7 linked regions of the Solanum lycopersicum genome follow. Each later gene encodes a partner of the first gene's protein in a complex. Links are inferred from orthologs where the notes say so. Each region holds a gene or a part of one and is shown in the gene's direction. Other genes may lie near its edges. The genes, in order: large ribosomal subunit protein uL3c; large ribosomal subunit protein uL5c; large ribosomal subunit protein uL10c; 50S ribosomal protein L6, chloroplastic; large ribosomal subunit protein uL1c; large ribosomal subunit protein uL15c; 50S ribosomal protein L27.

The links.
Region 2: large ribosomal subunit protein uL3c (region 1) and large ribosomal subunit protein uL5c share a complex: the UniProt entries of both Arabidopsis thaliana proteins name them as parts of the 50S ribosomal subunit. The link is inferred for Solanum lycopersicum from reciprocal best matches to the Arabidopsis thaliana genes AT2G43030 and AT4G01310.
Region 3: large ribosomal subunit protein uL3c (region 1) and large ribosomal subunit protein uL10c share a complex: the UniProt entries of both Arabidopsis thaliana proteins name them as parts of the 50S ribosomal subunit. The link is inferred for Solanum lycopersicum from reciprocal best matches to the Arabidopsis thaliana genes AT2G43030 and EMB3136.
Region 4: large ribosomal subunit protein uL3c (region 1) and 50S ribosomal protein L6, chloroplastic share a complex: the UniProt entries of both Arabidopsis thaliana proteins name them as parts of the 50S ribosomal subunit. The link is inferred for Solanum lycopersicum from reciprocal best matches to the Arabidopsis thaliana genes AT2G43030 and emb2394.
Region 5: large ribosomal subunit protein uL3c (region 1) and large ribosomal subunit protein uL1c share a complex: the UniProt entries of both Arabidopsis thaliana proteins name them as parts of the 50S ribosomal subunit. The link is inferred for Solanum lycopersicum from reciprocal best matches to the Arabidopsis thaliana genes AT2G43030 and EMB3126.
Region 6: large ribosomal subunit protein uL3c (region 1) and large ribosomal subunit protein uL15c share a complex: the UniProt entries of both Arabidopsis thaliana proteins name them as parts of the 50S ribosomal subunit. The link is inferred for Solanum lycopersicum from reciprocal best matches to the Arabidopsis thaliana genes AT2G43030 and RPL15.
Region 7: large ribosomal subunit protein uL3c (region 1) and 50S ribosomal protein L27 share a complex: the UniProt entries of both Arabidopsis thaliana proteins name them as parts of the 50S ribosomal subunit. The link is inferred for Solanum lycopersicum from reciprocal best matches to the Arabidopsis thaliana genes AT2G43030 and RPL27.

What each region holds. Positions count from the first base shown.
Region 1 is NC_090805.1:36,930,232-36,934,392, forward strand, and holds large ribosomal subunit protein uL3c, read left to right. Parts: upstream 1-1,361; 5' UTR 1,362-1,569; coding exon 1,570-2,122; intron 2,123-3,371; coding exon 3,372-3,661; 3' UTR 3,662-3,741; downstream 3,742-4,161. UniProt on the Arabidopsis thaliana protein: One of the primary rRNA binding proteins, it binds directly near the 3'-end of the 23S rRNA, where it nucleates assembly of the 50S subunit.
Region 2 is NC_090808.1:1,642,617-1,646,187, forward strand, and holds large ribosomal subunit protein uL5c, read left to right. Parts: upstream 1-1,476; 5' UTR 1,477-1,645; coding exon 1,646-1,897; intron 1,898-2,325; coding exon 2,326-2,871; 3' UTR 2,872-3,071; downstream 3,072-3,571. UniProt on the Arabidopsis thaliana protein: Binds 5S rRNA, forms part of the central protuberance of the 50S subunit.
Region 3 is NC_090803.1:3,526,247-3,528,829, forward strand, and holds large ribosomal subunit protein uL10c, read left to right. Parts: upstream 1-1,150; 5' UTR 1,151-1,254; coding exon 1,255-1,944; 3' UTR 1,945-2,083; downstream 2,084-2,583. UniProt on the Arabidopsis thaliana protein: This protein binds directly to 23S ribosomal RNA.
Region 4 is NC_090811.1:69,213,316-69,215,345, forward strand, and holds the end of 50S ribosomal protein L6, chloroplastic, read left to right. Parts: intron 1-989; coding exon 990-1,326; 3' UTR 1,327-1,530; downstream 1,531-2,030. UniProt on the Arabidopsis thaliana protein: This protein binds directly to 23S ribosomal RNA and is located at the aminoacyl-tRNA binding site of the peptidyltransferase center.
Region 5 is NC_090800.1:78,432,018-78,436,172, forward strand, and holds the start of large ribosomal subunit protein uL1c, read left to right. Parts: upstream 1-1,355; 5' UTR 1,356-1,423; coding exon 1,424-1,732; intron 1,733-3,334; coding exon 3,335-3,514; intron 3,515-3,620; coding exon 3,621-3,675; intron 3,676-4,155. UniProt on the Arabidopsis thaliana protein: This protein binds directly to 23S ribosomal RNA.
Region 6 is NC_090804.1:3,795,317-3,799,601, reverse strand, and holds the start of large ribosomal subunit protein uL15c, read left to right. Parts: upstream 1-1,485; 5' UTR 1,486-1,678; coding exon 1,679-1,759; intron 1,760-1,837; coding exon 1,838-2,195; intron 2,196-4,285.
Region 7 is NC_090810.1:58,850,415-58,854,516, reverse strand, and holds the start of 50S ribosomal protein L27, read left to right. Parts: upstream 1-1,302; 5' UTR 1,303-1,349; intron 1,350-2,588; 5' UTR 2,589-2,595; coding exon 2,596-2,862; intron 2,863-3,542; coding exon 3,543-3,644; intron 3,645-3,715; coding exon 3,716-3,901; 3' UTR 3,902-4,102.

The sequences.
Region 1 (4,161 bases):
AAAGAAAAAAAAAACAAGAAAGGAATTCTTTAAAAACAATAATTTTATTAGAAAATAAAAAAAATTATGTTCATTAGAAAAGGTGTATTTTGACATAATAAAATAACAACATAGACATTTTTAGGTTTAAAATATTAGTAGTGGAGACATTTTTAGAATAAATGTTTAATCGTATGGACATTTTAATAAAATTATTAACAGAGTATATTTTTATTTGACGTGACATAGTTTAAAGCTATTTTTAATGCTTCTCAATCAAACAAATAACAAATTATAAAAAAATTAAAGATTAATAAATTAAATTAGTCAACAATAATTATTAATTAAAACTAAGTCAACTAGAATTTAAAAGAAAAAGAAATATAATCTTCAAAATATGAATTATTGAAGCTAAATTCCTTTTTTTTTTTAAAAAAAAAAGTTGTTATCCGGATTCAATCCGGGGTCTAGAAGGGGGATACAATGTACATATATACACCTATACATACATCGCGTTTTGGCCGAAGCTCGTGGATGGCGTGGCACCCCACGAGCTTAAGTAGATCCGCCCCTGTTCCAAATGTGTGAGAGAGGCATGATAAAATATGGATAAAAAATTTGAGAGAAAAAAGTCGATAATAAGATCTCTTTTTTTCTTTTCATCAGTAACAGGATAAAAAAAAGTGGGTTCAATTTGAAAAAAAAAAGGTAACTAAATTATATTATGATACCTTATAGTTAATAAAATATTGACATATTTACATTTATTAATTATTCTTAAGTATAGATCTTATAATAATTATGTTAGGAATTCTGACTAGTTTAATAATTTTCGCATAAAAAATTATATGATCTTATTCTTGCTATCTAAATAAGACAATTTTCGTATCTAAAAGATTCAAATTTGACCTCTGATTAAGGATTTTGCTCCCTAATAAAGATAAATTTATATCCAGAAGACTCGAACTCGACCTCTAATAAATGATGTAGAAGTATTTGTCACTCTTAGGAGGTATCAAATGAGCGAGTTAGGTTGAAACTGAAAATAATAAAATAAATTGAAATAAAATTTGGGTTGAGTTTTAACCAAACCAAGTTTACTTTGAGTTCAAATGAATTGGACTCAAATTTGGAATGGGTCATGGTCCTGTTCAATTTGACCTGCTTAATCTCAATAATTTCAACTTAGTAATATTTAATTTTTATAATTGTAATTTAAATTTCAACTCAAAATTATTATTTTTTTTAAAAAAAGAAACAGTTACAAATTAATAGATAAATCTTTAAAAAAATATAAAATAAATAATAATTTATACTTTCGGTATAGAAACGTCAATGCAAATAAAAAGTTATATAAAAAAATTGAAATTGATGATTAAATTAAATATTTTTTAAAAAATAGATTAAAACTTAAATGAGTTGAAATTAAATTCGATTAAAATTACGTGAGATACCGCTCCTTAATTTATATTTGGGGTCTTATAGTTTTGTGCAACCATCTCCCTCTTTCCCCATCTTGTACCGGATAAGGAAATCCTATAACAGGGCGTTTCCCCTTCCTCTTTCTCTGTCTCAGCGAACCAGTAAGCCATGTCTCTCTCTTCTTTCTCTACAATGCCCACCGCCAAGCTCCGCCTACAAACCCTACCCACTTCCACCACAGTCACACCCTTAACTCTGCACTCTCCATTTCTCCCCTCTTTCAGACTCCCAAAACATAAACCCCTTTCAATTCTCCGCATTTCAACATCTCCAGCTATCTCTGCCTCTCTTGAAGCTGGAGTCGGAATAATGGCAACCAAACTTGGAATGATGAGTTTCTTTGAAGATTCAGGAACAGTGGTGCCTGTTACTGTTGTAGGGTTTCGCGAAGGAAATATTATTACTCAAATTAAAACTGAAGCTACTGATGGATATAGTGCTGTACAAGTTGGGTATCGACGAGTTCGTGATAGAAAACTAACTAAACCTGAAATGGGTCATCTTGAAAAATCTGGGATTATTCCTCTCCGTCATTTGCAGGAGTTTCGTCTTCAGTCTGTTGATGGATTTGAAGTAACGCAGAAACTTGATTTTAATGAATTATTTAAAGAAGGTGATTTGGTTGATGTCGCTGGTACAACCATTGGAAAAGGATTTCAAGGTCTGTTTCTCTACCACTCCAATTATCCTAAAGATTGCTTTTTTCGGGTCGTTATCTAAATTTAGCCTTGTTTATCAAAGATTTGAGCTCATTTTCGATTGTTTTTAAGTATTTGGGTAAAGTTATAAAGTGCTTATAAACACTTATTTTTAAGTCAAAAATAAGCTAAAGCCATAGGTTAGAAATGGTATAACAAGGCTTTTGGTTTTTATAAAAATCCCATGCCAAACGCCAATCCAAACAGGTCCGAAGATTTCATCCCAATTTCATGAATGAAGTGTACAATTGACCTTGATTTTATGTGTTGTGATTAGTTTTTTCTTATCATCAGTGAGCTATGAATATATTGTCTTTCATATGTGAACTGTGAAATAGAGAACTCGTATTGTTAATGAATCTAGTTCAAATGGATATTCTAAATTCATATAGCTAGCTTGGGATGGAGCGCGGTTGTTGTTTAAAAGAGAACTGGCCTGTGATTTTAGTAGCGTGATACATCTGAAATATCAAGTCTTTGGTTTTGCATTACTGCACTTTGTTATGCTATTGCAATTCATTTATCCTTAAACCAGAATGTATTTGTTTGTATAATTATGATACAATGTATCACTATAGATGTAAATATGATATTTTACTTATTTGTAAGAGTACTTGAAATGCCTGTTACATGAGCTACATTAACTTTTTGGCCAAATGGTTTGTATTAATGCTTCTATTGATTTTCCTCAATAACCGCAACTTTTGTTTGTAAATACTGCAATTCCAACTGAAAATGACATTGTAATTGAACATCGTGGTAGCTCCTCTCTTCGTGTGGCATGGCTTCAGCACCTAAATAAGCTTCATTAATGGATATCTTGATATTCTGGTTAACATGACTTGCTATCATAGTGTTTAATTATGCTGGTTGATTCCACAGTGTACATTTTCAGATGTTTAAATGTGGAAGTAGGGTTTATCAACTTTTCACGTCTTAAAAGTTTATCATAACCTGAATAGTTGTTTGAAGTATCATACAGACGAGACTTCCATACAGGTGCATGTATCGACATATTGTAACTATTAAGTCAAGGTACAGGTAGTTCTTTGGTTCTCTATTGGTGGCGGTCTTGACTCTAGATATATCATTCACTTACTAGAGAAGTAATTTTTTATCTCAAATTTGATTGTCTTTACAGAAAGCAAGTTCTATCTATCATATCTTGTTTTTCGCTCTCTCATTGTTGACACTGGTGGAATTGGCTTGCAGGTGGTATCAAGAGGCATAATTTCAAGAGGGGTCAAATGACTCACGGATCAAAGAGTCATAGACAACTAGGATCAATTGGTGCTGGGACAACCCCAGGGCGTGTATACAAGGGCAAGAAGATGCCTGGACGAATGGGAGGCACCAGGACAAAGATTAGAAAGCTCAAGATCGTCAAGATTGATGATGAACTTAAGATTCTAATGATCAAAGGAGCTCTTCCTGGTAAGCCTGGAAATCTTTTGCGAATAGCTCCGGCCAAGATAGTTGGCAAAAACATCCCCAAGAACTAATTTTTGTTCCCTCTTCTTTTATCAACTCTATGAAGTGATGAAATTTTTTCTTTCAAATTATGATATTGTGTTTCAACCAATCTCTACCTTCAAGTTTTATTTGTCAGATTTCTTAGCTAAAAAACTTTACATTATCAGAAGTCTATGAAAATATCTAGTTTTGTGTCCTCCCTCTCATAACCATAAAAACACATATTCTATTCACGAATCAAAATATCAATCTGTTCAAAACCATTTATCGTATGAGACAAATTATTGATGAAAATTCACAACATATCAATTTGTAAAATAGTGTTTTTTTCATGTACTATAAACTTTAAAGTTCACCATCTCGTCTAAAGTTTGGCATTTAAAACGATTGTAGTTTAATTGGTGTTTTATTATTAGGGAATTGTATGATTTTGGCGCAAAAATATTTATTTTATAGATGACTATACTATAGTGCAAGTCATTATAATTACAAAAGAGAAAGGTAACAGCAACATTACACCACATTGAAC
Region 2 (3,571 bases), on another chromosome or scaffold:
AAGAAATTATATTCTATAACTCTGAATTTAAAATTTCTGATAAAAATATATTCGTACTTTCTACTCTACCACAACTTTTGAGGTTCCAATCCCATTCGATGTGAAATTCTTTTATTTTCACCTTTATTCAAGGTAAACTCATCCAAAATAAATAAATTATAAACGAAGTTCAAATAATCTAAGTAAATACAAGTATAGAAGAAATGAGCGAAATTAGGCTATAAATGTAAACAAAGACATGCCAGTGAAGAAACTGGCTAAATAATAAAGATTAGGTTTATTTAATGAAATGGGCCACTACGACGTTAAATTTTCAAAAAATTATCCAGCCCACAAACCAATTTAGACTTGGGCCTACCTCATTCCAGTCTAATAGACCCCAATATTTTCTTGGTAAAAATTTTTGTTGGGCCAATAAAATTTGATATAGTAAATTTCATATATAACAAATACAAAATTTATATTTGTATGATATAGCAAAGTTTGTATACTTGCGCTCGGTGACAAATATAAATATGCATAATTCCCTATATACATATACAAAGAAAGCAGTTGTATAATTCACTATACATATACAAAAGAAAGCAGTTGTATACAAAAGATAAATTGTATAATCTGCCATTTGTGTATGTATAAAACGAGAAAAAGAGAAAGACAAAAGAAAACTGAGCAGGAGAATATTTGTTTTGTATAATTACAAGTGTATAGGACGAAGATATATGTATTTACATGTGTATATACAATTTTCTCTCGCTTTATACAAACAGAAATGCAATTTATACATTTCGTTTCTGTTTGAATAAGCGAGAGAGGCGAGGGAGATTCGGGAGAGTGGTGAGTGAGATTTGAGATAGGTGAACAAAACTATATGTATCTATACAATTTTCTCTCACTTTATACAAACGCAAACACATTTTATACAATTGTGTTTGTATAAAAAACGAGAGAGGTGAGTGAGACTGTCACAAAACGAGAGTGGCGAGCGAGATTCCACCAGGGAGAGTGGCGGAAATAGCAATAGTTTGCTATAGGGTACAATTAAATCAAAGTATATTTATAACATTTAATTTAAATTAACAGTTTGCTATTATATACAATTTTCCTGATTTGATACGATCTTCATTCAATAATTTTTAGCCCAAAACTTAAGCTAACATTTAACCATAAATTTCATCATATGTTTGGCTTAATTTTTGGAAACATATTTCACTTTTTTTAAGAAATGTATACTAATAAGTTTTAAAAGTTATCAAAACTAACTATAAGTTTGTATTGCATAACAAAATAGAATAAAAAGATTCACTATCGTAACAATTAGTGTCCATGTCACTGAAGCAATATGGTAATTCAGAGATAGTGCAACAAGCATCATTGCATACATTATGAAGTAGACGAAACATATTGTTCGTCACTTTTATCAATAATCATATCGTCATTTTCTTATTTACTGAATATTACATCATTATTTTGATGTTCACGTAAAAAATTTTACTTGAAAAATCTATGGCGAAATGGATCCGAATTTTTTTTACTTAAACATTCACAAATTAAAATTTAGTAGAGAGAACTCTGTTATATCCACAAAGAACATCTTATCCAATTACCCTTTTATTTTTCACACACAGAGAGAAAAAGCTCAGAGAAAATGGCGGCTTCTCCTCTTCTTCTACACTCCACGGCCTCCTCTTTCTACAATGCTGAGTTTCCGGCGTACTCCGTTCGATTGCCGGTCGGAAATACCAAGGTCCGGTCGTCCAATAAATTGACGGTGAAAGCTTCAGCAACAGTACTAGTGGATAAAAGTGAAGCTGAAAAAGTTAATCGTCTGAAAACAAATTACCTCGAAAAGATTGTGCCGTTGTTGAAGGAAGAATTCAGTTACACCAATATTCTTCAGGTAAACTTAGGAGTCGTTTGTCCATTGCATTTTTTTTCCAGAACAGATAAAAATTAGGGCTTGGGAAAGGGAAAATGGGGGAATTGAACAAATTTTTCAGTTTTTAAAAAAGCTTAGTGCAGGTTCAAACACAAATTCAATTTTCAATTATACTTTTCAAGTTAATTTCAATTTCAAAGCATATGTACTTCTTTAGCTTCAAATTTTACAACTTATATCTACAAATTTGAACTGTTTCTTGTTTGTTTGATTAAATGTTGAATTTTAGAGTTGAAATGCTGAGAAATTAGTTTGTTTGACACTATTATCATTTGAGGAGTGAGAAATCACAGTGAATATTAGTTGCATTGACCTATTGCTTCAAACTCTATTATTATTTTTTAGTTTTAATTTGATTTGATACGGAATGTGGAAAAACCGTGTTTTAGGTTCCGAAGGTCGAAAAGATTGTGGTAAATTGTGGTATAGGAGATGCTGCACAAAATTCCAAGGGTTTGGATGCAGCAATGAATGATTTGGCCTTAATTACAGGGCAAAGGCCTGTGAAGACTAGGGCTAAGAATGCTATTGCTACTTTCAAAATTAGAGAAGGTCAACCGCTTGGAATTGCTGTTACACTTCGAGGGAATGTAATGTATTCGTTCCTTGACCGGTTAATTAATTTGGGGCTTCCTCGAACGAGGGACTTTCAAGGCGTAAACCCCAATAGCTTTGATGGTCATGGAAATTATAGCATTGGCTTTCGTGAACAGAGTGTCTTCCCAGAGTTAAGTTATGATGCTCTTGGTAAGCCAAGAGGGATGGATGTTTGCATAACAACAACAGCTGAGACAGATAAAGAGGCACACAGATTGTTGGCTCTCATGGGTATGCCATTTAGAGAAGGTTCTGGTGGACAGACAACTTTTACGAAAAAGAAAAAGCTTAGAGCTCACCATTTTGACTCGAAGGCGAAGCAAAGGTCTAGGAGATGAGGTGGATCCAATCTCCAGGGATAATGAGTTGATTTGTTGTTTTTTAACTGTTTTGTGGTTTATCAGTTGTTTTTGGCGTACAATTTGAATAGAAAAATCTGTAATTGCACTTTTACCATCTGGCTGGTGATGTCTCGAATATATGTTATTTACGTTTTCTTCCTCTAAAAAAAAAAAAATAAGAATTGTTTTTATCTCTAGTTAAGTTTTTACTATTCATGAATCTTGATTACTGTAATTTGTATGTTATTAAATATTTCCTACCCGCTCCCTTTTCTCGTCTGCCATTTACTTTGATTTCAGGCAAAGAGTTTCTCTTGTTAGCTCCACCATATTCACATTTAGGTGAGTTAACATCTCTGCTTTTATCTTTTATCGTATGTGATAAGGAGTATTTGCGGGCGATATCTTATTTACGTTTTCTAAATTTGTCCTAATGCTTAACACTTGATGTGTGTGAGGCTGTGGAGTCCCATACTTATTTCTACTCCCTGATCCCCCACCTTTCTCCTTTCTTCCTCTAAGGTTTATTTATATTCGCATATTAGAAAGTCACAGTTATTTATAGTATATACCATGTTGCTGAATCTTTATTCCCTTGGCTTCATTTTATTCTGCTCAAATTGTACAGAGTTTTTTCTTTCAAAGTGTGTATGAATGTGCTTTTTAGTGGTTTCAGGTTCTATGTCATTTGATTTGG
Region 3 (2,583 bases), on another chromosome or scaffold:
TTTTTTTTGTTCATTACCGATTATTAATACTTATCTCAAATAAAAATCATAAATCATTGAAAGATTTACTTTTGCTTATTTTATTAATAATTAAACTAAAAATTGAATATACATGTGATTATGCCCCTTAAAACTATGAGACTTACGTCTTGTGTCTCAGGACATACGCCTCACCATATACTATGTAAAAGATTTCACCTCACGCTCTGTCTTTACTATACAGATACAATCTATTCAAATATTATATTTATTAAAATAATATAATATAATATAATTGAAGCAAAGTCTAGGACCTGAGCAGAGAAAATAACAAAAATATCACTTGTGATTTTGATTACATTCAGAAATAATTTTTGAATATTCTTGACTCTTTAAATTTATTTTAAGCCAGCATTTTTAATTGATAAACTTGTAGATACAGATATACATACTTGAAAAAGGATTGACGAGGTGTAGAAGGAATAATATTGAATATGGTGAATTTTAGTAGTAAATAATTTAATTATTATTAATATTTGTATGAGTTATATTTGATAGGAGTATTATTTTATATTTAATATTTGATTTGACGTAAAGAAAATAATCTGTATTACATCAATTTTGAACAAAATTCTTTATTTATATAAGTATCTTTCACAAATATAGTAAAATGATGTTAAAAGAGTTTTGAAGAGCAATAGTGATTTTATTATGCTAATGCATGAATATTTTTTTTTACTAATATCCACATAATTCCATATCTTATATACACCTTAATGCCAAATACATCATATAATATTTGCATTGATTATACTTAATGCGACTCTACTATGAAATTCAAACAAAATTAATAAAATATTTTAATATAGAAGAAAAATTGATATGATTATTATATTATTTTTTTAAAAAAAAATTAATAAAGCATCTGAAAATAATGATAATATATATTTAAAATAACTGATCGAATCATAATTAATATCTTTAAATATAAGATAAAATAATTTTACATTTTATGAAATTATTATCTTTTATATATCATATCAAATCATCTCAAGAATTTTGTTAATAATAATAATAAAAATATATCTAACATAATTTTATAAATTAAAGACGATAAAATATATGTAAATATTACACCTATTTTGCCTTTTTTAACTTCTTTAATGGTTTGTTTGGTATGACATAAATATTTTCAAAAACATAAAGTTTATGAAATACCCCTAAATTCTATCTTAGCACAAAAGATAAGGCAATCCAATTCTCAAGCTATCATCAATGGAGGCTGCTCTCTTCAGCTTACCTTCCTCTTCCTCTCACTCTTACCCATTTTCCGTGAAATCCCACTTCAACAATCCCTTCATAATCCCCCATTCCAGTTCTCACCTCAAACTCAAACCCAGAACTCTAACTATTCGTTCAGCCATTAGCAGAACCAAGAAAGAAGAAACAGTCGAAACAGTGAAGCAACAGCTTGAAGATTGTTATCTCTTAGCTGGAATCAGTTACAAGGGGTTAACAGTTAAGCAATTTCAAGATCTTAGGGCTCAACTCCCAGAAACAACAAAGCTTCTTGTTGCTAAGAACACATTGGTACTTAAAGCAATTGAAGGGACAAAATGGGAAGCATTGAAACCATGTATGAAGGGAATGAATGCTTGGTTATTTGTTCATAGTGAAGAAATCCCAGCTGCTTTGAAACCTTATAGGACTTTTCTAAGGGAGAAGAAATTGGAAGATAATGATTTTACTGGTGGGGTTTTTGAAGGGAAGTTTTATGGGCCTGATGAGTTTAAGGTGCTTGAGAATTTGCCTACAAGAGCTGAGATTTATTCACAGCTTCTTGGGTCTTTGAAAGGACCTGCTTCAGCTGTTGTTGGGACTATTCAAGCTCCAGCAAGGAATTTGGTTATGGTTCTTAAGGCTTATGTAAAGAAATTGGAGGAGGAAGAAGGTGGAAGTCAATAATTTTTGTTGTAATTCTTGGATATGGTAAGCTAATACTATTGTCTATTTGGATCAATATTTGAAATTTTTCTGAGAGATGGAATTTTGTAAATTTTATGTTTTTGGTAGAATGAATTTATCCTTGGCCAATTGTTCTAAATTTGTGTCCTCGTATTTGGCGGATAATTATCTGGATTACTTCATAACTGTTTGAGAGGATTTATGTTATGTGAAATGTACTATTCTGCTCTTTCCATTATCACTGAACCAAGAAAATAGTCTGTATTCCTGCTTCAGCTCACTATATTTGTCAAATATTAAAAGGGCAGCTCGGTGCACTAAGATCTTGCTATTTGCTGAGTTTGGGCTTTGGTAGTAGTCTGGAGGAAGTGTGTAGCTTTATTCTTGCAGTTTCTTGCTATTGTTATATGTTGATCGCACTATATTGTTGACGTTATTGTTTCTTGCATGTATCCTCTGCAGTGCTTTCCTATTACTAGTTCTCATGTTTTCCTTATTGTCGTTTTCCCTTTTTGTTAGTACTTTCATTTACTTCACTTGAACTGAGGGTCTTTTGGAAACAACCTTTGTACCTCCACTAGGTAGAGGTAGGGTTTGCGTACACTCTACCTTCCCCAGACTCCACTTTTTGGGATTTCT
Region 4 (2,030 bases), on another chromosome or scaffold:
GTAGTGAGGTTGAGTAAAACTCTTAATCTTATTCATGTGTATCTGCTCTTTTGAAATTACGGCAAAATTCTAAAGCACTCTCGAATAACCAGGCAAGCCAGTTGTCTATTATGCATTAGCGCAAAACTGCAATAAACAATAGAAATTGTGGGAGTATAATGTGATGAATAAGAAACTTAGCTTACAACTAGAATTTTTAGTTCGTAAAAGTTATCAACTTTGCCAATTATTCTGTAAGTCAAATCTTAGCATCTGTATTTGGTTCGTAATCCAAAAGATACCAAATGGATCCATTATACTCAAAACCCAGCAAACTATCAAAATATGTTTTCTTTCTTCATTTTATAGATATTCTTTTTGAGATGTGCGTGGGATTGTTGGAAATTTGGAAGTATCTCATAAGGAAGTGTCCCTTGTTTTTATCCACTTATAGTTTATTGTTTTGCCCTTACTTTAAATGGTCAAACTAGCCGTTAACTAGTCGTTGTAGAGTTTTAGGAGCTTTAATAAAGAACTAGTTTAGGTATAATAACCATAAATCATAAGGTTTTTGATGCTAGTTTATACTAGATGAGCTTGTTGAATCCTAGGAGATACGTTTATATGATTGAATATCCTTACAGAAAGTGTCATACACACGCCTTAAGCTAGAAGAATATCCATGATTTCAACAATTAGACGTGATTTTCAACTTGGAATTTTCATTTACACGACTCTCGTCTCTGATGATGATGATCATCAGTTTCACAGAATTTTGTGATAAAGGTATGATTCTGCACCCCAAATGATTTCCTCTCAACTTCAAAAGCCATAATATGTGTCTTACACCAACTCTATCAAACATTCTGCCAATACCTACGGACTGTATATAAAATTTTTCATAATCTTATCACTGTTGTTATGTTGGTCAATTCTAGTGACAATGTATAGATGCACATATTTTGAGTGTTTACTCTGAAGATGTTCTTTTTCTTCATCAAACTCGGCAGGACTCTAACTGATAACATGGTAGTCGGCGTTTCCAAAGGATTCGAGAAGAAACTTCAATTGGTAGGGGTTGGATATCGTGCAACCATCGAAGGGAAAGACATAGTTCTCAATCTCGGATTTTCTCATCCCGTTAGGATGGAAGTTCCTGCTGGACTGCAAGTTAAGGTTGAAGAAAACACCAGAATCACTGTAAGTGGTTACGATAAGTCAGAGATCGGTCAATTTGCAGCTTCAATTAGAAAATGGAGACCTCCAGAGCCATACAAAGGTAAAGGAGTGAAATATGCTGATGAAATAGTTAGAAGGAAAGAAGGTAAAGCAGGCAAGAAGAAGTAAATCATGGTACATTTTGTCATTGTTTTATTGTATTTTTCTTAGAGCTATTTTGAAGTTAGGTTCATTTTGCAAGTGACTTGACAAATTTTTTATCTTGTGGATCCCTTTAAATATAAGAGTCACACAATTTGAATATTGTATGTAATCTGGTTTCCCTTACATTTCTTTTAAAGCTGTTCTGAAAAAATTAAACGATTTTCTTGAGCTGAGGGTCTATCACATTAAAAAACAAAGTATGTCGTTGTGTTCATGGAGGTGGTTGCATTCAATAAAATATTTACAAATTCATGAAAAATGAACATAGTTTTAGCAAGAACGCAATCGTTTTCTAAATCGATAAATTATAATTGAACATTTATCTTTCAATAAATTAAATTGTAACCTTTTCCTTTAATATTGAAAATACGTTGTATAAATTCCACACATGAATAAGTAACAATACAAATTTAATCTCAAATATAATTCTTTTGATAACAATACTCGAAACAACGGAACTTAATACAAATGAATGTGAATGTATTCAAACATTTAGTCTAAATAATTGACTATTTTGATAAATAATTGATAATAATTACTCTCCAAAAATATATATTTTAAATGTATTTTTGACCATTTATTTTAATTTCAAACACTTTCAATGAACCAAACTATATATGAGAAAGCAGTAATTATAGTCAAAGCAGGGAAATATACATTTAATGCAC
Region 5 (4,155 bases), on another chromosome or scaffold:
TAATCAACCAATGATATTAAATTTTATATAATAAATAAATAATTATTGGTGAAGGGAAAATAAATTTTAAAAGACTGATAAAAGTAAACAAATATTTTAATTCTATCGTATAGAATATTCAACCATATTGTCTGCTTATATATCTCATTTTAAATTTCTCCATTTCAAATGTATTATAAGTAATTATTAAAATGAAAAATTAAAGGGAGAATGTATCATATAGTACAATAATTTAACTTATTATATATACTTGAATACATAAAACTATTAAGTTTGTTTGTGTGTCTTTACAAATCAACACATTAGAGTGATGAAATTCAGTTTAAACTGAAATTTCAGTAGAGAAAACTTCTATGAATACTCAAATAACGTGTGTTGTTTAATATGTATTAACAAATCCTTATAACAATAACTTTGCAGAAACATATACAACAAAGTATAAAACAAACACACTAGGATATGTAATATAATGAAAGAGAAAATAAAAAAATTGAGTCCATGAAATGCACAATGTACCCTTAAGAAAATTATTCTCCTCTACCACCCGAGGTTTAAAATACTAAATCCTCACGATAGAACGTTTAGCAGTGTGTTTATACAAAAATAATATTTAATTATGCAGAAGAAAGACGTTCAAAATCTTTGTTGTTTTAAAACAAAATGAAATCTCTCTATTCATAGAAAACAAAGGATAGTGTGAACAAAATATTTATAGAACGTTTAGCAGTGTGTTTATACAAAAATAATATTTAATTATGCAGAAGAAAGACGTTCAAAATCTTTGTTGTTTTAAAACAAAATGAAATCTCTCTATTCATAGAAAACAAAGGATAGTGTGAACAAAATATTTATTGTGCCAAATGGGAAATAACACAACTCTTTGAAAAAGTTACAATTCTTTTGAAAGAGCACAACCTTTCATAAAAGTTGTAACTTTTTGTAAAAATCACAGCTCTTCTTCATATAAGTCATTTAAATGAAAATTCTTACTTGTGATGACGCTACCTAGGTTGACATATGATTCTCTTATATATATATATATATATATATATATACATACTTAATCATTATTAAGTAATAAATATAATTGCTTTAATTATTAACTTTTAAGATTAATCATATATAAAAACATGCTATCGTATATGTTTTCAATGAAACATCCGATAAAATTGAAACAATTTTTTTTTTTTTCAGACTCTCCCAAGGAAACTTGCATCAATAAAGGGAGGGGTTATATGTTTAAAAATCAAAAGCTAGTAGGTAAAATCATATATTCTGTAACTTCTGTGGGTCAAAATGATAAATCTAATAACATACTTTTGATATACACTCTCTTATCTCGTTATCAACATACGCCAAATGGATAGGCATTATATATGATTTTGTTTATTCACCACAACAATCCCTTCGGTCTCATTCAACAATGGCTTCCACAGCAACGCCTTCTACTCTCACTCTTTCCTCTATTTTCTCACAAGAACTCAACCCCAATTCCCTAATTTTCAAATCAAAGCCTCTTCTTTTCACATCCCACAAATCTTTTTCTCTGCACCCATTAAGCCTCCAGTACAAAGAAAGGAAGAATGGACCTCTTGTTGTTGCTGCTATGGCAGCTGAAGCTGAGGTTGAAGACGCCGTGGAACAGGAAGGTGAAGAAGGGGCTGTTGCTGTTTTAATTCCTCCGTCTAAGCCTAAGAAAGGCAAGGCTGCATTGCCCTTGAAGAGGGATAGAGTATGTTGAAGAACCCATCTTTTTATTGTTGATTTGGTGGATTTTTAGATATGAAAGATGGGTTTTTTTTCGTTGTGTGATATGTGGGGTTTGCTTAATTTTTGTGTTTTGAGATGATATTAGAATGGAAATAGATTTCTTGCCCCTAAAGTGGATATAGCATGTGGAAAATCTCCAAATTTTTTTGGGTTAATTTATGGATGTTAGATGAAAGATGAGTTTTTGCTGGTTTTGTATGATAGGTTGAAACAACTATGCCTTTTTTTTTTCTTGAGCTACGGGAAACAACCTCTTTACTTCTCTCTACCCTGGCCAGAGCCCACTTTGAAGGACTACACTGTGTATGTTGGTGTTGTTGATGATGATTCTTGTGGCGATATTACCATGGACATAAGTCATAACTTTTTTGCCCCTAAAGAGGATATTTATGTTGAAACTCTTCATTTCTAATTAATTTTGTGAATGTCAGATGAAAAATGGGTCTTTGTTTGTTTGTATGATATGTGGCTTTTGCTTAAGTTCTGTTTCATTGATCTTTGTGGTGAGATTACTATCAATATGACCTGTTTTGGAATTTCTTGGTTCATTTTTTATGGGTGAACTTGTCTGAATTTGTTTGGTCGTGTAAAATTTGGTCTGTACTGATTTACCTACCAAAGGTCTGTTTTGTGTGATGATGAGATAATTCAGTAGTTCATTATGATAGTAGGTGATTTCTAACAGCTCTAAGTCTTTTTGGACTGAGTGGGAAGTAGCAGGTCGTTGGTGGATTAATCCTGTTGCATGAGCTTTCTGGGACACCATCCTTATTAACAAATTTATAATTATACCGGGAATTATGAAATGGAATTTAATATTACGTTAATTACAATTTCTAAGCAATGGAAATGAAATTATATTAAGCTAAGATTGTATCTGTATTGTGGTTGGCGAGTCACGTCAAAATTACCTAGTCTCACATTGTGTCATTTCAAAGGAAGCTAGTTTGTATATGCTTGCAGTTATTGGCAAGTTATGAAGCAAGTATTTACATAGCCTGTACTTTCCTGTTTGTATTGGGGGGAACAAGCTTTTTTTTTCCCTGTTTAATGTAGACTACCTTCCTCCTGCCCGAACATGTGAGGATTCAGAATCTTAAGTTACTTGGTGTAATACTAATAAAATGTGGAGTCCTTTTAAAAGTGGAATCACGGTGGCAAAGATCAATCAGGAATGGTGAACAATCAATTTTAATGCAGCAAAGTTAGACCTTGTGTAGTGGGATTGAATTAGATCATTCGAACTCTCTCATGTGATCCTTGTCCTCATAATAAGACATCTGAGGAAATATGCTGTCCGGAGATTAAACATTTCACATAATTCTGCATGTGGTTGTTCCTTTCACCAGAAAAGGATGTCACTGTACAGGTGCATAATTTTGCACTTTGGAGATGCTAGTTGTGGAAGATCATCTCTATTGATTTTCAAACTGCGTTTCTGATATGCTTTTCCTGTTGCTGATACATCAAGCATCAAACTTCTCTGTTTCTTTCTCTATCTCATTTACCCGTTGCTCCATCAATTTTCTCATAAATTGGTTACTTCTTTTTCCATAATAATTAGACGCGGTCTAAGAGGTTCTTGGAGATTCAGAAGTTAAGAGAAATCAAGAAAGAGTATGACTTGAAAACGGCTATAGAACTCCTCAAGCAAACAGCTAGCTTAAAGTTTGTCGAAACCGCTGAAGCTCATTTCCGGCTCAATATTGACCCAAAATACAACGATCAGCAGCTTAGGGCAACTGTAAGTTTTCAAATATTTCATTAATCATCATTACATACTTCAAAGTCTATATCGAGTGTTTACTGGTATATTAATATCTTGAATTGTGGTGACTTATCTATTTCAGGTTAACTTGCCCAAGGGAACAGGTCAAACTGTTAAAGTGGCTGTCCTTACCCAAGGTACTCCTTAAAAATATTTTGTGTGAATCGATCGTGATTGTATGCCAAATAATCAAGGGAAGTAGATTCCTTGATAATTGGTCTGTTAAGGTCGTTATCGAACTCCTTTCATTGCTTCTAGAAAATAGTCATTTTTATTTTGTATTGATAAATTAAAATGTCATTTAACATAAGTGTAGATGTGATACAAGTAACTGGGCGTAATAATGTGGAAATGGTCTGCAAACTAGAATATCATATATGGTTGTCATCCCAAATCAGCCTTGGTTAATTAGATTGTCTAGTGAACTTGCAGCTTTCACCCTACTTTTTTTAACGCACCCCAAAGAAAAAGGAGTAACTTTCAGAATTGTTTTTTTTTTCTTAAAAAAAAAGATCAGACATATGAATCTTCCTTTTTAGTGTGATTGTTAGTCTAGTTTTTGTAACCCTAGATTGAATGCAATATGCTAGGATCTTTTTTATATTTGGGATGTGGTC
Region 6 (4,285 bases), on another chromosome or scaffold:
TGATGAATCTAGGAGTAATTTTTGTCTTTTGAATTCATCAAATATATTTTAGTTGATTTTCTCTCTTTTTTTATATATGAAAATTATATTTATATCCATCTATATTTTCATTTATTTTTAAAGGATTCTGGTTAAGAATTATCTTGTTTTCTCCATTGCAATGACTATAGTTATATTTTTTTTAAAAATAGTACAGGAGGAAGAACATGAGTAAAAAGAGATGGAGGTTTGTGTGATTGTCAAATTTGTGTGTATATATATATATATATATATATATATAAAATAGAATACTTATATACATAGATATTTGTATTATAATATTAACACTCGTTGAAAATGGTGATTTACAAATACAAATATATCTGGATACATAAGTAATTTATCCAATTTACAAGATTGATTAGGCAATACAAGTACAATTGGATACATTAATACTATATTTTTATAAATACCTAAGTTAACACCAAGCTTCATGTATTACAGGATCACTTACCAAAAAGAGATTGGCAATTGTTATTTATCAATTTTTTATACAGGCGAATTCTTATATACTTTGATACCGACACATTCTATTATTTTCTATTTTTTTGTTTCTACGTTGTCCAATTTATCCATCTTTGATTTAGTAACACAATGTATTCATATGTATACTATATTGCATTCATTTTTTGAACAACAATAATGTATTCATTTTTCAAATAGCCGTGTTCATATGCTAATTGTCATACTTTAACTTGTTTGATATATATATTGATACATTAAATTCTTACAAAAACTTGTATCATTGATATATATATATATATATATATATATATATATATATATATACACTTTACGTTTTATAAATATAGATACTAATTTGAATTCAAAGTATTCATATACTAACTGTACACAATTAATACATTTTCCTTATTTAGTTTGTTGTAATTAAACTTGTATTACTGTATAAATAGAAAAATAATAATATTTAAAGAATTAATACAGCTAGAAAAAGATATAAATTGTATTCATTTTTTATAAATAACATACTTGTAGCTATTGAACTTTGATAAATCCTATAAATGTAGTCATTTTTATAATTTGCTGATTAATGAATGTATACAGAAATTTGGGCGGAGTAAGACAGGATTAAGGAGATTCTTTTAAATTTTCTTAAGCAGAACATTATAAGAGTAATCCTCATCGGAGTATAGCATGACGAAAGAGGAAGAAAAGAAAGATTACTATCTAAAAAAGAAGTTGACGAATTACTAATAACCCTCGTATAGAATTTATCAATGACTAAGTAATCAAACATGTTAGTAATTAATATGACTTGTAGCGAGCGTTTAGATCTCTCTTTCTTAATCATATGTTTCAAATTCAATCCCATAAATGAAAAAAATCAGTTAGGAAAGTCCCCTCTAAAAATGTGCCCAGTCGTGTGTGAATTCAAATTTTATTTAAGCCTATTACTAATATCAAACATCATGTTGGAAGCAAAAAAGACCACGATCCTCAAAATGAAGTGTAATACACACATATCGAATTAAATATCGAACACCTGATAATAGACTCGTAAACTAATTTAAAAAGTAGAAAAGAAAGTCCCTGAAATAACCACCCCTATCCGTTAAAATTTGTCAAAACACTTTTTGCTTGGACAGTGAACACAATCCTGAGTTCTCCCTTATCAACAATGGCGTCTCTACTCTCCATCTCCTCTGCATCACCTACAAGAACAAATTCAATCATTACCCAGTTTTCTTCATCATTCAAGGTACAATTTCTCCTCTTTAATTTTTCAATTTCTGTCAAAATTATACAATTCTCATTTATCCCCATCAATTTTTTTCAGGGTAATGTAAGTAATTTGAAGTCAAGTTCGAAGCTTTTGCCTTTAATAAAGGTCTGCAATTTGAAATCTAAGTCAATAACAAGAACCCCATTTGTTGTTTTCAACCAAACTGCAAGTTTTGGTGCTGATTCTGCAACTGGGAGTGTTCGTTTTCGGCTTAATAACTTGGGTCCTCAACCTGGGGCTACCAAGAATAGGAAGAGGAAAGGTAGAGGGCATTCAGCTGGACAAGGGGGTAGTTGTGGTTTTGGTATGAGAGGTCAAAAATCAAGGTCTGGACCTGGAGTTAGAAAGGGGTTTGAAGGGGGTCAAATGCCTCTCTATAGGAGACTTCCTAAGTTGAGAGGAATTGCTGGAGGTAATTTGTTAACATTGCTTCAACATAATTATATTATCACAGGGGTCGTTTGGTACAAGGGATAAGAGATAATAATCTCGGGATAAAATGTTGGATTGCCTTTGGTTAGGGGTATTAGTTAGTCCCTGAATATCTATCTTGTCATTTTTATAAGATAATGATAGGATAAGTTATCTCATATATATATGGCGGGATAACTAATTCCTCGGGATATACTAATCAATGGGATAACTTTGTCTATCTCATCCCTAGTACCAAATGACCCCTTAGTTTGAGTTGGATTTTGTTTTTCCTTGTTTTGTTGTTTGTTTCTGTGTCCATCTGCAGTGTTATAGTTTACCATTTAAAAGTCTATGGATAAGTGTTATAAAATTTATAGCTTTAACTTGACTATGTGTTCTTTTTTATATTTGTGTTCGGGGCACCTTGCATGCAGTAGTGTTGTCAAAGCTGTGCATAAGCGAGGTTCAAAATGTGTTGAGCGCTTTGTCTTGCTTAATGTGCTCTTCAGGGTCGTCATCAAGTTTCTTAGGCATTCTTTTGAGTCTCTTTAGGCAACACTAAACAATTGATATTTCACTTAATAGTAAAAAAAATAATTTCTTTGTTCATATATTTGTCATTCATGCTTACAATTATTATTCTTAGACTAAACAAACATATGTATTTGTATTTCTCCCTTTGCTCCTTTTTATATTAAAGATCATGCTTTATTCACGTTTTATGCTTAGTCCCAATGGTCCTCAGAGTTTTTTTGATTTGATAACACTGTCATGTACTTAATTCCACGGGTACCTGCTTCTTCCTGCCAACACTTGTGTTGGATATTCCTTTGCTACTTCATTCCTCAACTAATGGAATACAAACTCTTTTTTCTGCCCTGCCTGGTGTCATCCATCTCCAAATAGTAAATGCGCTGCTGAGCGGATAACTCTATCCAGAAAGGCTTGGATAAATGAATATTGAACAGGAGACATTATGGTTCTCAACCAACTCCATTAACAACTACGCCACTCACTTGGGTGCACTGTGTGTATCTTTGTTTACAAGCATGTTTGTTTTTCTTTTGGTTGTGTCATTGCAGAGGCAGATTTTCATAGGATGATAAAAAGTCTTATCTGCATCTGGTGGACATATGTGTATGCATACTCAAACTGTACTGATGATTAATCTAAAGAAATTTATTACAAATGATCAATATATTGCACTAAGAAATAAAGCTATGCATAGTTATATGACATCAAGGCAAATATCTTGAAATTCTTATTTTCTTATTTGCAATATTCTGAAATCCTCAACATTTTTATCTTCCTCTATAATCCGAAGACTGTTACCCCCTTATTTAAACTAAAAGGAAAGCCTTGATCGATATGAGAGAAATGTGCTCAAGCATCCAACCAGGTGTAACGTCTGTCAAGAAGTTTCTTACTGCAAAATGAACATTCTAGGAGCTCTCACTCGAACAAATGCTCCTTATGCCATCATAAACCGAATCAGCGGATATAAAATCTGTCCTTTCCTAACCTTCCCCTAGCAGGAAACTTATTTTAAAAGGAGGAGGATTTGGAAAGTTCATACTAAGGAGGTAAAAAGGCCCTCGAGTCAAAGGGCTATTCTTCCTTTGATTTGAAGAGAATGTCAGTGCCTTGACTCTCTAGTCTCAGTGTGGCTCTTGAGTAGTCTTCACTTTCCCTTATGCATGGCGTTTGATTAAGTATTTTCTTCAATGTCAAGTTGTTGGTATTACTAAGATGATTCATAACTGTCCTTTATTTTTGGCGTAACTTGTATCCATTCGCATTATATAATGCTGAACCTTGATACTCACACCTAGAGTTGTGTGTCAAAAAATAAGTTCTTACTTTTCTTAGGCCTTTCATACTGATTAGGCCTTGCCATGTCTAATTTTTATAACTTTGACTATTTTAGGCTATTCTAACTTAATAACTGAAGTAATTGATAGTGCTCTTTGTAAAACCTCCAATCTCGTCTTTTAATTTGTTTCATTATGTGTTTTGTTGATTTAGTTAAGGATTTCCCTCAAGTCAGGCTAATCTGTCAAAAGCAATTATCTACTACATGTTTACCAC
Region 7 (4,102 bases), on another chromosome or scaffold:
ATTTGCACATATAGATTATATAGCATGATGTTGGATTTAATTATTTTATTGTATTAATTTTATATATTGAAATTTAGATATATTTAAAATGTTCACCTAATATTATTTTTTAACCAATAAATATATTTATTCTTTGAAAGAATTAGGTTCATGGCATTTATATTCTCCACTTGTTCTTGTCCTATAAAAGTAAATAAATTAAACAATCTATTTTACTTTAAATATTCTTCTTTTAAATCCTTTAATTTACCAACACAACTTTTGACTCGAGCAATCAATTCCACTAACTAGTTCAAGAAGCATAATATGAGCAATTTTCAAGAATAATGTGGCATTATTGTAGGTCGGCGTGTTAAATAATCGGGTTGAATTAAAATTTAAAATATTAAAATGAGTTCAAATAAAATTTAAGTCGAATCATAACCTCTTCAAATTATGTTAGGCTCAAATAGGATAAACATTGGATTGGATCATGACCTGTGCGATTTGACATGTTTAATCTCAATAATTTAAACATATTGTTATTTTCCTTTAATAACTATTATTTGAATTTTAATTCAATAAAAACAGTTATAAAATTGATATATAAATCATAAAAAATATAAAATAGATTCTAATTTATGCATTCAATATGAGAACATAAATTACACCAATACAAAAAATACTCTTAAAACATGTTGAAATTAGAGATTACATTGGACACAATTAAAAATTATTTTAAAATGGGCTAAAACGTAAATAAGTTGAGATTGATCCAATTCAAAATATCTAGAGCTCCCGCCTATAAAATTTTAAATGAGTTAGACGAGTTATATATATTTAGGCTCATTTTGACATTCTTAACCGTACTTGTATGGAGGTATGCAAAAAAAAATTATTCTTATACTTTTTATCGAAAAATCATATTATATATGCCCGTAAGTAGGAGTATGAAATTTTCTCGATAAAAATTAAATTAAAAATTTTTAAATATGATTTCATTTTTTGAAAATACTTTTCGCAGAATATCAATTTGAGATTAAAAAACGTTTTCAAAAATATAAAAACAATCACTTGGATTTTAGTTTCGAAGAAAAGATATCTGAAAAAACATTTTATTTTACTAATTAAAATCATATTATTCCCCTTTACAAGTTCGATAAAAATATTTACAACTTCAATATTTATAAGCAAAATTAATTTATGTCCATAACTTATGTTCGATAAACGAAACCATTAAACTTAACCCGAAAACAAGCTAAAAAAAGCCCAATTCAAAACGGGTCAAGTATATTATAAAAAGGATGGCTGACATTTCTCTTATCTTTTTATCTCGAAGATTTTGCCATTGTGGCTCCATAATCCCCTCGGTGAGTTCATCTCTTTTCCCCTCTTCTGTAAATTCAATGTTTTTTTCTTGTACTATGTTTAATTGGGTGTTCGAAAATGTATTTAATTTTAGCTGACTCGCAAATCTTGGTTTACTATTCTCTCCATTTCAATTTGTTTGTGTGGTTCGACTTTGGCAAATAATATAAGAAAGTAAAGATTTTTTTTTAATCAAGTGGGGTTGAAGTAAAACTAATGTTATGTCGAATGTATCAAAATGTTGTTTAATGTGAAAAGTTAGAATTGAAGAGTTGCTATTGGAAATTGAAATGGAGGGGGTTAGTATTTATGCTTCACTAGGATTTGAACTTGAGACGTTATGGTTATCAATCTACTTTATTGACCGCTACTAATATTTTAGGTGGACTGCAATCTTGATGAACATACTAGTGTTTATTTTGTTGTTGATACTGGTTTCCTTTGATTCCTCTTTGTTTTGTGGTTTAAAGACTTGTCCTTTATGATTAAATATGGTTCTTTTATGACCAATTGCTTGCGTAAGGACTTATTTGCGGAATATTTTGTGGTGTAGAGTTTGCGAAATGCGTTTGTGGTGGAGGGGGGTTGATGTTTGGTGTAATTTTGAAAAGAAAAACAATGAGTGGAAGTAATGTGTATTGAAATGCAAGAGATATATAATGGAGTAAAGATAGTTGTAATGAGGACTTAAGGTACTTCTATTGTTAGGAGTGTGTGTTTTGTATTTTTTTTGAAGATTGATAATAAGCTCAGCAAATTGGTTTTATATTTTGATAAAGCTGAGTATTAAGAAATGACAATATTATCTAAACAGTGGTTGGAGCGAGCGATAAGGAGAAAGAGCTGAAATCGTAGTAAAAGGAAATGACTTATCTCATAAGTGAGAGTAGTTATTTCCCCCTTTTGATGGAAAACTTTTTTTCTTAGGAAATATGTTTAGGACCATTTTTATCACTCTTCTACTGTTTTAGTCATACCGAGCAGTGTTAAAGTCAGAGTCAAACCTTCTGTAGACTTACTATCAAAAATATATTTCTCCAATTTGTGTTCGCGATGATCCGGGGAAATTTTAGATTGGCGATTAAGATCCTTGGTAGTTGTTATGGTAATAGTTTTGTCCTCTTAGTAGTTCTATGCTCATATTTTTCCCATTGTTAAATATCACTTCCTTTCCTTTAGGCCTCTCATCTCTGATAGTAAGTACCACGAGAGGCTACTGAATTTCTTTGTTTTCTTTGCAGCGTATAAATGGCAGTGAGTTTGAGTCTTGTTTCCTCATTCAAAGGACTCTCCTTATCTTCCAATTCTCTCCTTGGGGTTTCTCTTCCCATTGCCCCTAAGTTCTCCGTTTCCTTCCCGTTGAAATCTCCATTGACAATTGAGTCTGCACACAAGAAAGGAGCTGGTAGCACTAAGAATGGTCGAGATTCTCCTGGACAGAGGCTTGGTGTCAAGATTTATGGTGACCAAGTCGCCAAGCCCGGTTCTATAATCGTTCGCCAGCGCGGTACAAAGGTTTCAATTTTACTTCTTCTGGATCTCCTCTCTCTTTTTTATTTTTGCCTAAAACTCGTATTTGCTGTGGAAGTTCTGATAGTTCTTTTGATTAATTAATAGTGCTTGAAATGAATTCGGATGAACCCACCCAAGTAGAGTGTAATTCCAGTTTTTTTGCTCAATACCTCACAAACATACTAGGTCCTGGCATCTTGTCAATAACTCTGCTCCATTCGTCTGGCTTTCTTCGTTTGGTTTGTATATTATTTGTTAGAAATATGTGGATTGTCTAGAGGGCGTTAGATTGAGTACAAAACAAGGTACTAGAGGGATACATATCTTGTCATTTGAAGTAACAGATTGCTATAAGGTTTAAGGTTTTGAGCTCGTGTCGTGAAGACATAGTTGGAAGTTCTCTTTAAGAAATGCACATTTGTTATAATCCGACTTGAGTTTTTTTTCTTTGCCGAAAGTGTCAGTTTCTGACAGTATGATGCTATGAGTAGATGTCGTCTTCTATCAGTTAGATAGTAAAAGGGTTTATGCCAGAGGTTGGTATTAGTTTTACTTTTTTTCGGCTCTGATATGATCCTGTTATCGTCTGTTTGTTTGCTCTAAGAGTAGTTCAAAAGTTGCATTCTCCGTTTAGCATTGCCATATATTCTGTTCCCTAATCGTTCTCGTGGTGATATTTCCAGTTCCACCCAGGAAAGAATGTTGGACTTGGCAAAGATCACACAATATTTTCTTTGATTGATGGACTAGTCAAATTTGAAAAGTTTGGACCTGACAGGAAAAAGGTTGAGTTCTTTAGCTTACTGCTTGTAGATATGTGGTACACGAGTGTTATTAACGTATACTGACTGTGCAGATAAGTGTTTATCCACGCGAGGTGCAACCTGAAAACCCCAACAGCTATAGAAACCGAAAGAGAGAGTCCTTCAGATTACAACGTGAACGTAGAAAGGCACGAAGAGAAGGTGTCATCCCTGAGCCTCAGTTGATAGTTGCTTCTGCTGCTGAATCCTCTGAAGATAATCCCATCACCACTTGCTGATAATGGTCTTTCGATTTTTCAAACATTCTGTTGTCGTTTTGGTTATTGCTAGTAGCTACTTGGGAACACATTTGCAGGCACATTTTCTAAACTGTGTTTCTGCCATTGTTGTCTTTTTTTGTTTGTAAATTGTGTTACTGAAAGCATGAGTCTTTGTCACAGTTTGTATGAGTACAGAATGAAATGTATGATTCAGAAGAT